Diceros bicornis minor: one gene and its partner. The protein of the gene in region 1 interacts with the protein of each later gene in a pairwise test. Links are inferred from orthologs where the notes say so. Each region holds a gene or a part of one and is shown in the gene's direction. Other genes may lie near its edges.

Region 1 (7,701 bases):
TCCTTAAAGCTTCCTCTGGCTTCCCACTGCACTTAGAATGAAACTCACACTCTTTTCCACAAAAAATGCATGATTGGACCTCTGTCTGTCTCCTACTCCATCTCCTACCACTCTCCATCTGCCTTTATGTTTCTTGATTATATATGCCTGTTAGTTTCACCTTTAAGCCTTGTTTCTGACATACTGGAATGCATCCAATATGCCTCCTTCATTTTTTCTTTAAATCTTTGGCGATCAAACTTCAGACAATGAAGTACGACTTCCTCGTTAATTCTTCCCCCTGCACAGAATGTCTGCCTTCCTATTCCCTCCTCTTAAGTCAAATGTCGCTCTCCGGAGATGCCTTCCCTGACAACTTTATCTAAGTAGACACTTTTCTGCATAATAACTTATCAGTACCTGCAATTATCTCGTTCATTTATTTGTTTGCTTGTTCTTGTCTGTCTCCCTTCATTTGCATGCAAGGTCCATGAGAGCAAGGACTTTGTCCTGTTCACTCCTGTACCTCTAGTCCCTAGAAGAGTGACACATCATAGGCATTCAGTAAATAAAGCCCATCCTGGAAGATGAGATGTGTATGTGAAATACATACACTGATACAAAGTTGGTGCTCAACAAACATTAAATTTCTTTCTTACCCATTGATGAGAGTAATCAATTCAGTCCCCTGATCTGCACATATCACACAGATATCATCTTGGATGTAGAGGATGTTGCATGCTATTATTCAAAAATACATAGTAAAGGAATGATGACAGTGTGTGGGGTATTCTCTTTTTGCTCCTCCCAATCCACTCTCCACTCTTTGCCACTCTGCTCTGTGTCCCTGGAACACAGACCTTAGGACTGCCTCAAAGGGTTCCCTTATTCTCTGGCATCTGGCTGGGTTTGGTCAATGGGTGCTACCATCAGATCAGAAATTAGAAGAGTGAGGTTCTCTTGTCTGAGTTCCTTTACCGAAGGCTTCAAGTTCCTGCCAGGCAGCTCTCTCCTATAGTTCTCTCCAGGCAGTGGACACCGTTCCTTCAGGCCTGGGGGTGTTACATCCCTTGTTGGTTTCCCTTAACCCTGCCCACACCTTTGTAAATAGTCCTTCATTAAAATCTCCTCAATCGTTGAGGAGTGCCATCCCTCAAAATGGAATACCCTTCTGTTACCTGCTAGAACTCTGACTGATACAGACAGAATGAGAAAAAGTGGGCAGAATTGAAACACGGCCTTCAGCAACACAAAAGCAGCAAAGGTAAAAAGAGCCACGGAGTGACTAGCACAAATGATGGGCCAAAATGTGCGTGTTCTACCGTCTCCTCTTTTTGCACCTGTGGATCACTAGCTTCTGAGGTTGGGTCCTCTCGCAGTAAAGGCTGAAACAGAGTTGGAATTCAAGGGATCAACCCCTATGAAAGGAAGAGGGAGACAGCAGGACTGGGCAGAGGGGGAAGTCAAACTGCACTACAGGCTCTACAAAGCTTCAGTCAACCCAGCAGGAGCTCTGGAGGGAGAGGTGCCCACATCAGGCTGCCATTGCAGCCCTGCCTTTGTACTCTCTCGTCATTTATTCACCAAATTCACTAGATCACCGGGAAGGGGCGATCTTGGGTGAGGGGGCTCTCTGCAGCTGGGGCAGACCTTGAAGTAGCTGCCAGAGGGAGGCTGTCTGCTAACTGCACTCCCTGCAGCTGCGCAGAAAGCCTCTTCTTGAAGAGGGAGCGTGGGGGGCCACCTTCATGTCTTCCACACCAGTTTGAATCTCAGTCTCTCCTGGGCTTGATCTCACACTGCACAGCTGTCTGCCACGGGAACTGTTTCCAAAGGCTCTGTCCTAGTGCCCCCTCCCTAGAAAAAAACACCCTGGCTTCCTCAGCTCAGCTTTCCCCAAGCAACTTCTAATCAAATTTCTCTATCTTATAAATTGCCAGACTAACAGACAGCTGGTGGAAGGAAATATGTTCCCACTTCAGGAAATCTGAGGTATTGAGAGAGAAGACAGTACTATACAGAGTCAGAAATAACCTTACCAAGCAGTAGAAGTGCAGCATTGGTGATGATATCTTTACATTCTCGTGGAAAGGGTTGCTCTGTGATACTATTGCTGAGATACTGAACATATGTGGCTTTGATGATTCATTCTTTAGCTTTATGCAGTAGGTTCTCTTACCTCCTGTATGGTTTCTGAAGAATGCTACAGGCTTTCCAAATCAGTATTCCTGACTGTTACCATAAAATCTTCCTCAGCAGCAGTATTATATTTTAATATTGACACAACACTTGATCTGAAAAATGCATCAGCAATTAGATAATACCTGGCTAAATTAACATGACTGTTGTTATAGTGAAAGTTCGATACTTTGGTTTCTTTAAACTAAATGCTCTTATCCCTTCCTCCATCACCTCTTCATCCGAGTCTGTTGGATACAGTTACCATTGTGCTACCACATTTTCAGATATCTTGTTAGGATATATTTAAATAACAATCTAAACATGGAATGAGATCATCTGAGTGCATCAAGTAGCAAGAAAGTGGGAGCATTTCTATAAAAGCAAATCTCTCCAGGCTGCTATCTTAGGCAACAATTTTTCTCGTTTTTCTTGACTCAAATCTCCTTCAGGCCAATCAATAGACAAATTTAAATTTATCTGGGTTCTTCTCTGTCTTAACTTACAATATAACTAAATTAATTGGTGCAGAATTGAGCTGTAATGTCTTTAATATTGAATACAATAAAGGATAAAGTATATTAATTATGAAATATTCTCTATTTGATGTTATAAATTATGCTAATAACCCTGTGCCAAATTTTGAAGCTGAAGAGCTAATCTTTCTTTAAATGTCTTTGACGACATAGCCTATAGATTTGCAAAAGTATTCAAGAAACTAAGCTACATCTTTTTGAGTGTGGATGTGCACAGCTATGCCGTGCTCTGAGTGCAAGCCAATGATCCTCAAATTCATGCTCTATCAGATCCTAAGGACGTAAAAATCTTTGATCCGAGAAAGCAGGCTTCCTACTAATTATTGTTTTTGGAAAACAAACAAACAGAAAACACACGTCCTTTTTTAGGACTTTGAAAGCAAAAGTCCTTTACTTTAGTTTGCTCAGGTACTGGATATTTGTCTTGTTTATGTCAGGCACTAGAGGGAGGTGTGGTGTCATACAAGGGCTGCATTCTGTAAACCGATTACACGCTGATAGGCCTGAGATACAGTGAGAGGGTACAGCAAAAAAAGGCTTAGAAAAATATTTTCTCAAGAGTGAAGTACGACAACTGTGGTTTCTGAAAATCTACTGAGATCTAGTGTTTTACACAAAAATTCCCAATATAGGGCTTTGATCCCTTTTGTAAACCATAATAACATTCAAATAACGTGATTTTCATAGGTTTACTGTTATTTTAAAATGATACATCCTCACTGATTTTAAAAAAGTCAAACAATATAGAAAAGTACAAAGAAGAAAGTGAATACAACTTGAAAGCACACTGTGTACTCCTACCGTATGGAGGAAGATTCTTTCAGACATCTCTCTCATTCTCTCCACCTACAGAAAAATGTATGCAATTTTAAATATGGAATAAGCCTGTACTTGCTGTTCCTGGAATAGCATTGTTGCAGAGAGCGTGGACATCTTTCTGTGGCAGATGACTTGATTCTTGGTGGTAAGACACAGCGGTTATGAGTAAGGGGAGTCGCAGGGCTGAGGTTTAAATTCTTCTCCACTCCCTGTGTGACACTGGGCAAGTGATTTAGCCCATCTCTATGTACCTCAGTTTCCTCATATGCAAAAATGGGGATGATAATATTACCCGCTTTAGAGAGTTGGTGTGAGGGTTAAATCTGATCACATGATTAAGTGATTAAGACAGTAGCTGGGACATAATAAGTACTTACTACATTTTAATTATTATTCTTTTTTTTTCCCCCTGAGGAAGATTCGCCTTGAGCTAACATCTGTGCCAATCGCCCTCTATTTTGTCTGTGGGTCCCCGCCACAGCATGGCCACTGGTGAGTGGTGTCAGTCCGTGCCAGGAATCTGAACCTGTGACCCTGGGGCAGAGCTTGCCAGACTTAACCACTAGACCACGGGGCCGGCCCCGTAACTATTATTCTTAACTAAATACAAGTTTCAACTTCGTAATAACACCAAAGATTTTTAAAATATGAAAGTGGGATATTTTTTCAAATAACTTTCATCATGATATTTCAAAACCATGCTTTTAACATAAATGATTACTGCTTCTACATGTAACTATATACTTTCTCCACTGATGCTGGTGTCTGCATGCAGCAAACACTCAGTTTGTACGTTTTGACCGAGCTCCCTGAAGAGAGAAATGAACTGCCTTTTTGTGGAGGCCTGCTTAGGAATTGTCCTGCGGAATGCCAGGTGCCTTTAAGGGAGACAGTGTTACATGGGCCACCTTTGTAAGACGTGAGTCCAACTAAAAATCTCTGTTAATTATTAAACCCTTAGGTATTATCTGGATACCTGACACTGCAGATTGAGAACGGAGAGTGTTTTTCTCTCAAGGTAAGCCTAAACACTGATAGAAAAATGTAGTTACGAAGGGATTAAAAAGAACCAAACCCCTTTCTCTTGTATTTAGTGAAGAGAGTGGGATGTCTCCTGTTTGGGCTGGCGGACCTACAGCCTAAACAGTCGGTTTAAACCTTGTTTGGGGTTCCTGCTTGTTTTAGCATGGCGGAGCTGGGAGTTCACAGAATCCTCCTTTTGATTATTTCTCTGACAAAGTGTCTGGAAGGCACAAAACTGCTGGCCGACTTTAAAAAATGTGGTGACTTGGAATGTGAAAGTAAGTTGCTTTGCTTTTTTTTCCCTCTTAAACTGAGGCTCTGAAATGACATAAAATGTTATTGTGGACATGTATGATAAAAATGAGCATTAATTCGTTACAAAATATTTGCAATTATAAAGTATGGTTCACTATAAAAAGGAAATGCTGGAGGCAAAGCATTTTGTGATAGTTTTTAATGCAAATATACAAAGGGGCAAAGATCAGCCTGGTACATAAATATATCAGAAATTATAAAAATATTAATCCAGACCTCAAAAACACACAAATCAGATCTTTTACTGTTTTATAAGATAAATGTAATTGATTTGCATTAAAAAAGATATCAAGCCATTTAATAGTTCTTTATTTATGAAGCCCTTATATTTTTTAGTTTTCTAAAAATGTTTTTATTTCAAACCATTGTGATTTATTGTCTAAATTTTATCAAACATTAATCATTTCTGTGTCTACTTATTAAGTAAAAATACTGAAATTAGTGTTAGGAGTACATAATTTTATTTATATCCTTGAATATTAAACTTCTATATTTTACCAAGAGAAATTAATTTTCATTTTATTGCTTAAAAACTTAATTTTCTGTTATTAGCATTATGGTGCAGAATGAATAGCATCCCAATATATTAAAATTGCTTTAAATATGTTCTATCTCTTCGGTATGTGAGAATTATTTCTAATTTGCAACATGTAAATTAAAAGTGCAAAATATTATTAGTATAAACATAAATAATTTATAAGTAAATTTTTTGAGTAAACATTTTCCTTAATCATTTGGATATGTAATGTAATATATAGAGAAAGTTTACTAGATTTTTTAAATAATAATAATAATCTTTCTTTCCCTCTTTACAATCTCATTTTAGTTTCCTTAGGGCCAGACACAGAACATGGAAAGGGAACATTCAAATTTATAGTAATATATAATGTTATTTTAACTTTAATTGCATGACTTAATTAAAATGTTTTACATATGTTAGTATAATTATAATAGTTAATATGGTATGTATATTACTTTATGTGTTAAAGGCCTAAATCTAGCATATGTGGTTATGATCATTCATGGTTATTGAGGGCCTGTCATGTGCTGGGTCTGAGGGGCTGGGGGGTTTTGATCTAAGAAGAAGAAAATAAAATATAAGTTTCTTGCCCTCCAAGAATTTTCATTCTAGTGAATGGTGACAGGACAGGTCAATATGAAACAATAAATAGTGATACAACATAAGAATGAAGTTCAGGGGCTGGCCCGGTGGCGCAAGTGGTTAGATGCTCGCACTCCGCTGTGGCGGACTGGGGTTCACCGCTTCGGATCCCAGGGGAGCACCAACACACCGCTTGGCAAGCCATGCTGTGGCGGCGTCCCATATAAAGTAGAGGAAGATGGGCACGGATGTTAGCCCAGGGCCAGTCTTCCTCAGCAAAAAAAAGAGGAGGATTGGCAGATGTTAGCACAGGGCTGATCTTCCTCACAAAAAAAAAAAAAGAATGAAGTTCAGAGAAGGGGCAGAGTAGGCTGGACTGATTAGGGATGTCTCATAGAGGAAGTAGGATATGAGTTGACCCTGAAGAGAGACTGAAGGGGCAGAAAGAAAAGCACAGAATATGGAACGTGGATGGTGAGTGAAGAGAGCCTCAGTGCAAATCTGGCTCCTCTAAGACGTAGTTAAAGGCTCATGTGTTAGCCTAAGATGAGATTATTTACCTCATAGGTCTGTTTTGAGGATTTAATAAAATAAAGATAGGAAAGAGCTTATCATAATGCCTAGAATATAGTAGGTGCTGGGGAGAAAACTAATGATCTTTTCCTTCCCTTCCCTACTGACGAGAATGACAGCGACACATTCCAGGGACAATGGATAGATGAGCTTGACTGTAAAGAAATAAGAGGAAGTCATTTTAAGTGGGGAAGAAGGAGCAGGTTATGGACAGCCTTGAATACCAAGCCAAAGAGCTTAGAATTGATTCTGTGAGCAGCGGGAAGTCTATGTAGGTTTTTGAGTTCATAAATGTTATGAAGAAATTAGCATTTGGAAATACATAGGATGGATTGGAGGAGGGCAAGATGGGAGGCAGAGAAATGACATTTTAATTTAAATTTTGTGTTTTTCTTACATAGCTTTAATAAGCAGAGTCTTAGCCTTGAGAGATTACAGAGGACCTGACTGCCGATACCTGAACTTCACTAAGGGAGAAGAGATATCTGTTTATATTAAACTTGCAGGAGAAAGGGAAGATTTGTGGGCAGGAAGTGTAAGTATCTAGTCTTAAAAATTGAATGCAGAATAAATGACCAACTTGCACAAGGATGCTCGCTTTTCATCCCTAAAGAAACTTTCCTGGGCAGCCCGGTGGCGCAAGTGGTTAAGTGCGCGCGCTCTGCTGTGGTGGCCTGGGGTTCACTGGTTCAGATCCCAGGCGTGTACTGCTTGTTAAGCCACGCTGTGGCAGGCATCCCATATAAAGTAGAGGAAGATGGGCACGGATGTTAGCTCAGGGCCAGTCTTCCTCAGCAAAAAAGAGGAGGATTGGCATCAGATGTTAGCTCAGGGCTGGTCTTCCTCACACACAAAAAAAGAAACTTTAAGAATTTCAAAGTGATATATAGGTATATATATAGGTATATAACATTTAACATATTTAAACAAGCAAAAAATGGTCATATTCAGTGTTGGTTCCAGAATTTCCATAAAAGCAGAATTTTGGGAAAGCAGTCTGGTTGGGATGGAGGACTAAGAATGCCTTGAAATTATTTTACATAGCATGTGTGGTTTTTGAACTTAGATTTTATATTTACTTGGAGAGTAAATTTACCTACTTCAGAGTTACTGATGGAGATTATGAGATAGCTAGGCAACCCCAGGGATTCCTTGGTGCTGCCAATGGCCAAATTT
Region 2 (7,715 bases), on another chromosome or scaffold:
GCTCCTGCTCACAAGGCGCTCATAGCTCATCAAACAGGGCCTGCCATCTAGTAGGTATTCAGTATTCACTGGGGGGTTGGGGGGGGTGGATGGATATTTATATGCATAGATTGCCTATAAGGCCCTGCATGACCTGATGTCCTGCTCTTCCGCTGACCAATTCTGTTTCACCTTCTCATTCTTAATTGCTCTTTTGTGCTTCCTTGAACCCATTAAACTTGCTCCTGCCTTAGGGCCTTTGCACTTGCTGTTAACATCTTCCGCTGCTCTTCTGGACATTCACATGACTTGCTCCCTTATTTCCTTGAGGTCTCTGCACCTTGTCAGAGGCCCTCATTAACTACACTATATAAGCTAGCACACCCTCCCCACAGGCTCACATCACCTCCTAGACCCATTACTTGGCTTTATCTTTCTCCATATCATTTATCACTTCCATGTAAGGTGGTTCAGCTAGCTGAGGGAGGGAGTGAGTGAGTCCTGAAATCCAGCCCACCCTCTGTTCCCAAGGTTTTCTCCCTTAGCAGGGGCCTGAGTCTAACTAAAGGAAGAGGCTTTTTCCTAATAAACACGAAGTGGCTGCCTATTCCCTAAGCCAAGCCATGCACCTTTTTCTAACTTGCACAGACGTCATATTGTTTACCAGCAGCCCTGTGTTTTTCTTCACCCAGTAGAGCAGAAGCTCCAGGAGAGCAAAATCTTTGTCTATTTGTCCATATTGCTTCCCTAATGCTTACAACAGTATCAGGCACGTAGTAAGTATTCAATAGGTATTTCTGTCTGGGTGGATGGACAGATGCATGGCGTGAGAAACTTGCAAGTAAACAGAGAGGGCCAATATAGTGTGGTGAGTGTCATGATGCAACTGTGGACAGGATACTGTGGGAGCTCAGAAGTAAGGCATCTAACCCTGTCTTGAGAGGCCAGAAAATCTGTTTCAAGAAATTACACAGTCCAAGAGACAGGTTATGCGCATTTCCTTCTTCTTAAGTTTCACACTTCCTCGAGTTGGAATAATTTGGAGATCATCACACTTGATCTGGGTTGGAAGAGTCTAGAAGTACCCTCTCCACAGGCTTCCTTTGTGTGATTTCTGCAATAGCAATGCTTGCTTCTTTGACCTCAGGATCAAGGGAGGGAATGTGAGTGAATACATCGTGACAACACCATCCACCTAGATTACACGCACCACATCCCAGCGTCAGTGAACAAAGCTCAAGCACACCTGCTCTAACTAAGCTTCCATTTGCCGCCAGGGTTCAGAGGGCAAGAGAAGGAAAAAATATCACAGGGGTTTGCAACGCTAAGAGTCTTTACAGTTCCTTTAATTTGATTTTTTTTTTTAAGATTTTACTTATTTATTTTTTTTCCCCCCAAAGCCCCAGGAGATAGTTGTATGTCATAGCTGCACATCCTTCTAGTTGCTGTATGTGGGACGCGGTCTCAGCATGGCCGGAGAAGCGGTGCGTCCGTGCGCACCGGGGGTTCGGAACCCGGGCTGCCAGCAGCGGAGCGTGTGCACTTAACCGCTAAGCCACAGGGCCGGCCCCTTTAATTTGATTTCTACTCTTTACAGATCAGAGCAACGTGCTTCTGGCCAGAGCTAATTAAATTCTGGAGGAGACGGTGTGTCAGCTTTAGGAACGGGAATTCAGCACCTGTTCTGGTCCCGCACGTCCCTTTACAATGATCGGCAAAAGCGAGTGTTGAGGAAAGAGACGCCACGTTTAACACGCTTAGAAACCACCTCATAGCCATCTCCTAGAAGGACAGAACACTTCAAGTTTTCAGTTTGATAAAGAGCAACTTAACAAGGGTAAGCGAAATAAGAATTAGAGAACAGGAAACTGGTTCTTCCTTTTTATCACCACACATGTTAAATATTGTTGATAGAGTCACAAAAATCTGCAGTTTACCCTCACAGAATCCTGAAACTGAAAGGGGTTTTAGAAAGCAAGGGGTACAAATACCGTCACTGTATAGGCAAGAAAATTGGGTCCCCTAGGCTGTGACTTGCCCCAGGCCACATCAAGTCAAAACCAGAACCTTGACATCTTGAAACCAAGTTCATTGCTCTCATGATGGTTCCATGCTGACAGTTTCCTTAGGAAACAGAATAAAAGGAGTGGGATCTTTCTAAACTTTTGGCCCAGGAGCTTGAGGAGATTTAAACCTTCTGCCAACAGGCCCACCAGGTTTTACTCAAGAGATTTTTAAGCCAACTTATTTAAATCGCTCCTCCAACCTAACTCCAGAAAGGCTATCTTGGCAGTCTTGGATCAAGAGTAATTAAACTTCAACCTTAGAACTGAAAAGAACACCAAATGTAAACACGACCTTTCAAGTTCTTAGTAAATATTTTCCTCCTGTCTCGTCCGAGCCTGCTCTTCTGTGAAAACGAGAGGGACATAACCAACTCCAACTTGACTTGTCCATTCATAGGTCCTCAGTTCATTGCAGGGCTCATGACAACACCCTTAAACGCGAGGCTGCCGGAGCCAGCGCTGTTCTTTAGGGTATTGGCCACAACTGTCCCTGCCCCTGTCAGATCTGAGTTACCGTCACCACTGTATGTACTTTGGGCCACTGAAGAGGGGTAATATAAGAATACACGGCTGCGTAACTTAGGTATGTGGTGTTTGCCAAATGTGCCCACCACCCTCGAAAATATTCTCTGAACTGCTAACAACTAGCAGAACTAGTGGTCCATTTCTTAAGCTACTCCCTTCCTGTACTCCGCCTTCCTAACGAAGCATAGCTCACATTCTCATCCGCAGAGGCAACAGACAGTGCCAGCACCATCAATGGTTATATCTGAGCCTTTCCTCCCTGGCCGGAGCCAGAACACCCGGGGAACTGCGGGGGTGCACGGTGTCGCCGAATACAGCCCGGTGCGTCGCAGCTTGAAATAAATAGGGTCGTGGGGCCCGGCGCTTATTTCCATCCTTTGACGCGATTTATCTCCTCTCCCTGCGTCTTCATCTCCGAGAGGTAAAGTCCCTTTAAGAAAAACAATAGTGGACGATTCCGCCGCAGCAGAGGGAAGTTTGGGGACCGGCCTAATGTCGCGTGCGTCGTGACCGGGAAGCGAAGGGCGCGGCGGAAGCTGTAGTTGGCAGGAGCCGCCGGGGATTCCGGCCCCCGCGTCGCCATGGCTACAGGCGCCGACGCTCCCAGCGTCCCGTTCCCATGGCAACCCCATTGTTTCCGAGCCGGCGCCCGGGCGGCCGGCGCGAAAGGCAGACCCTGCAGAGCGCCTCGCTTCCTCAAGACACGCTTGCGGCGCGCTGCACGACGTCCGCCGAGGCCGAGACGCTGACGCCGCCCGAGGCAGCCGAGCTGCGGGGTACAGGGAGCCGGGGAGGCTGCTCCGGGGCGTGGCTTCTCTGCCCCCCGCCAGGTACGCCGCGCGACGCTGGCCCGCAGCCGCCCTCCCCCAGCTTTCCGGCCAGAGCCTCTGCGGCGGGGCACTCCCCGCAGGAGAGAAGCCTGGGGAAGCTCCGACGATGCTCGGGGTGTGGCGTCAGGGTTTAAAGTTACGGCGAAACAACTGCCGAAAAGAAGGCAGCGATTTGCACTTGAGAGAGGGGCCGAAGTTTGGTGTTATAATTCAGGGCCGTGTGGAACCTCATAGGAACAGAAATGAGGAGTTTGAGAAGTCGAAACCCTCTCTCTGGCCATAATTTTGAAGGTAGCGATTGGAAAGAGAAATTAGTGAATCTTCCCTTCTCGTTTGTGGATTGTGGATGTTTTGGAGCCTGAGTCAGAGAGAGCTACTGAGGGCTCAGGTGGGAATGAGTCCCATTCTGCAGGGTGAAATGAGGAGCGACGTGGTGGGTGTTAATGTTCAGTAAATAACTGTGCATTCAATTTGGATTTAAGCGACAGGGATAGCCATGAAGGTTGAAGTTCACAAATAGTTATAAATCAGTTTTTTTTTTCCCCTGAGCTAACATCTGTTGCCAATCCTCCTCTTTTTGCTGCGGAAGACTGGCCCTGAGCTGACATCTGTGCCCATCTTCCTCTGCCACAGCATGGCTTGATATGCCCTGCATAGGTCAGTGCCCAGGATCTGAATCCGCAAACCCCGGGCTCCTGAAGCAGAGTGCAGGAACTTAACCGCTACACGGCCAGGCTGGCCCCATAAGCCAAATTTTTTGCCATGAGTTTCAGCCATTTCCCCCATCAGCTAATGAGAGCAATCCAGATAGACACATGTGTTTTAGCTTCTTAACTAGGACCACCTATTAAATAGTGAGATGGTGCTAGGGACCAGGAGAATTAGCTAATACCCTGGCCATACTTCATTTAGTACTGAGAGCTGGTTGCTTTGCTTGGATCCATCTTGCTCATACTTGCAAAAACAGTATCTGACTTGAGTAGGAGACCATAGTTTTGATGATTCAGGAGCTGTAAATGTGTTGGCTTAAGGGGTAAAAAAATAGGTCAGGGATTTTGGAGGTAATGTGGAGTAGAAATTAAAGGAAAGAAATTTAATTCACAGATTTAATTTGGCAAATGTCTTTAATTTCTCCTTTCCAGGGGTCTCCGTACATGAGTGTGCATAGGCTGTTTGTAGATTTAGGATGGGTTATATCTTCACACAGTTTCAGTTTAATGTTAATAGCGTCCAACAGAGGGAAAATAGAACAGACTTGTAAGCCCTTTCTTCCAAAGCTGACCTCACATGCGATTCTTAGAAGGAAGAAGATGCAAGCCAGTCCCATCCGCATCCCAACTGTCAGCAGTGACACCGACTGGGACTTCTGCTTCCATCTGTAAGTACCACAGAACCTTGACGTCACACTCGCTCACTGGCCTGAAACACTGGGACCTCCCACGTAAGGCAAACCTGGGTGAGGAACTTTGCACACACATTATTTAGAAGAGAAAGCTGAGCTTCTGTGATGTGTTTAATAATGATTCTGCTGTAATATCCACTTGTACTTATGCAAGATGGAAAATAGCTGTTTTTTCCTAACTTAAGGGAAATTTTAATTTTTTTATGAAGATAGGTTAATTATAACAAGATTGGTAAAGTCACAGAGAATTATATATCACAAAGTAAATTAAAATTGTTTCATGAAATAGACAATAGAAAATTTCACATCATAATAGCTAATACTTATTGAGCAAATGCTATGTGGCAAACACTGTTGTAAGTACACCTGTTAACTCATTTAATTCCCCCAACAACCCTGTGAGGGAGGTACTGTTATTAGCCTTTTTTATAGATAAGGAGTATGAATCAAAGAGAGATCAGGCAGTTTGTCCAAAGTCACATGGCTCGTAAGTGGTATTCAAATTGAGTAGTCTGACTCTGGAGTCCACTCGTTAACCACTCGTTAGCCTCTATAACAGTGTTTCTCAGCCTTGGCACCACTGACGTTTTGGGTTAGATAACTCTGTTGTGGGACTCTGTCCTGTGCATTGTAGGATGTTTAGCATCATCCCTGGTCTCTACCCACTAGATGCCAGTAGCAGTGCCCCAGTTGTGACAAGCAAAAATGTCTCTAGACATTGCCAAATGTCCCCTGGGGGCAAAATCACCCTTCGTTGAGAACCATTGCTCTATACCAATGCTGTTGAATAGAAATATAATGCAAGCCACAAATGTAATTTTAAATTTTCTAGTAGCTATATTAAAACATAAAAAGAAACAATTGAATATAATTTTAATACTATATTTATCTCAATATATCCAAATGTTATATAAAATAATTAATGAAATATTTTACACATTTTTCATACTAAGTCTTTGAAATTCAGTGTGTGTTTTGCACTTACAGCGCACCTCGATTCAGACTAGCCACATTGCATGTGCCTAATAGCTGGTGTTTCTTAATGTGGCTGGTGGTTACTGTATGGAATAGTGTAATTCTGTACTACCTCAGAAAAGGTCTTGAGGTTAAGTGTTATATAACTATAAGAATTGAAGTTAAAAATGTAGAGTTCACAGAGAGTATCTTGGAAATAATCAGATAATTCATATTTAATATTACTAGTCAGAATTCATAGTCATGATGGGAACATATAGAATAAGTTGTAAACCTGGCAAGGCAGACCTTTCATTCAACCTACCTACTCTCTTTATTCTGACTGTCCTGCGAGATATCTGACTGTTCAATATTCTCTATCTTTCTTCTGTTTCACACTAGTTCAGGGCTCTGCATTGTCAAATCATTTGTCAAGACCTTGATGTTTCTCCTTCCTTTGAAGTCTCCATTGTTGAAGCTTGCTGCCTTGGTCTCAGCTTAATTTTGTTTAAGCCTGAATTTAAAACATTTAGGACTTAATAATTTTTAATATCCATAATTAGCTATCTCTTTGGTGACTCCAATAGATTTGACTTCTGCTCCAGGTCTGTGAAATATGCAGCCTACGCAAAATCTTCTATTGAGGGACTAAATTTTCTTTCTGTTAGGTTTTTTGAGTTATGGTCTCTTTCCACAGATTTCCTCCACCAGCAATATTTTTCAAGCATCCTAAAGACTTTGCACTTTGTTTTTTCATTCATTGGCTCATCATTTAACAAGCCATCATTTGTTTTACCTGTGAGCTAGGTATCAGGGTTTCAGAAACAAATAAGACTCAGCCCTGGCCCTGTTGGAGTTTACTTGCTGGAAAGTAAAGAAGACTCAGAAACAAAACAAATGAGTTTTGAAAATGAGACTATAGTGTGATTTACGCTATAGTAGAAGTTGAGAGGAAATTTTTGCATGCCCTTTGGAGAGTGTCTCTACTGCTAATCCACTGTGAGGCTTGAGCCGAGGTGACATGTGAGTGGGTCCTGAAGGGGGAGTACAGAATTCACCAGGCAGAGCAGAGGCATCTTCTGATCACATCGCATCGCCAGCCTTCCCTGGCTTTTTCATTGAGTTTGCATGTCTTCTGAAAGCACACTTCTGTTTGTGGGCAGAAGGCAATCCTGCCAGGGCTTGGCTTGAAGAAATCTTGCTCTCCTATCCACATGACCTGGTTTGCCCACATGCTTCTGGCTAGGTTATTTAGAACAGGACTCTGTGTGGATATTAACATGTCATTTTCAAACGTGGTGTAAAAGATTACACTTACTTATTTTCCTTTCTGAATTTTCTTTTTTTTTTTTTTTTTTACAGTGAACATCTATTACTTATCTAATCAGTGGAAAAGGAAGTTAAATTTTATTTTAAAAACTATGCAAGGGTTGAAATTTAAAAACTATTGAGAATACAAAGGTAATTCCTTTTGGGGACTTACTTATAATTAATTAAATTTCTCACGTTGCTCTTAAGATCTCAGAATTCGGTTTCTTATGGCTCACTTTGATTTTTCTGGTTATGTTAGGATATGGTTATCTCTTCTGTTGTATAAGATTAACTCTTTTGACTTTTGTCTTTACCATTCGAATTACCCATTCATAATTATGTGCATCATTGAAGTCAGAGATCTATATTGTGTGTGTGTGAGTGTGTGTGAGAGAGATAGAAAGAGAGAGAGAGAGAGGCAGGTGAGGGGACGGGGGAGATTTTCAGCTTACTCAGTTCTTTCTCAACACGTTTACTTCTAACACAGCTGAGGAGGCCATTTCTCTTCTGAGTCTGCTCTTGACCCAGTGTGGGGTTCCCGCCCCTCTCCTTGGTGGGACCACATCCTCTTTAGTTAGTTAGCCTTTACAGATTTTTTTTTAAGAAATATGCTTTTAAGAAATATGAAGCTTTTAAGAAATATGAAAG

Evidence for each region.
Region 2: the proteins of MIA2 (region 1) and TTC23L interact in binary tests that used the Homo sapiens proteins (3 or more experiments, as listed by UniProt). The two-hybrid records come from large-scale screens. The link is inferred for Diceros bicornis minor from reciprocal best matches to the Homo sapiens genes MIA2 and TTC23L.

Annotation. Positions count from the first base shown.
Region 1 is NC_080744.1:10,921,230-10,928,930, reverse strand, and holds the start of MIA2 (melanoma inhibitory activity protein 2), read left to right. Parts: upstream 1-4,683; 5' UTR 4,684-4,698; coding exon 4,699-4,813; intron 4,814-6,926; coding exon 6,927-7,060; intron 7,061-7,701. UniProt on the Homo sapiens protein: Plays a role in the transport of cargos that are too large to fit into COPII-coated vesicles and require specific mechanisms to be incorporated into membrane-bound carriers and exported from the endoplasmic reticulum.
Region 2 is NC_080759.1:34,186,557-34,194,271, reverse strand, and holds the start of TTC23L (tetratricopeptide repeat protein 23-like), read left to right. Parts: upstream 1-4,710; coding exon 4,711-4,778; intron 4,779-7,715.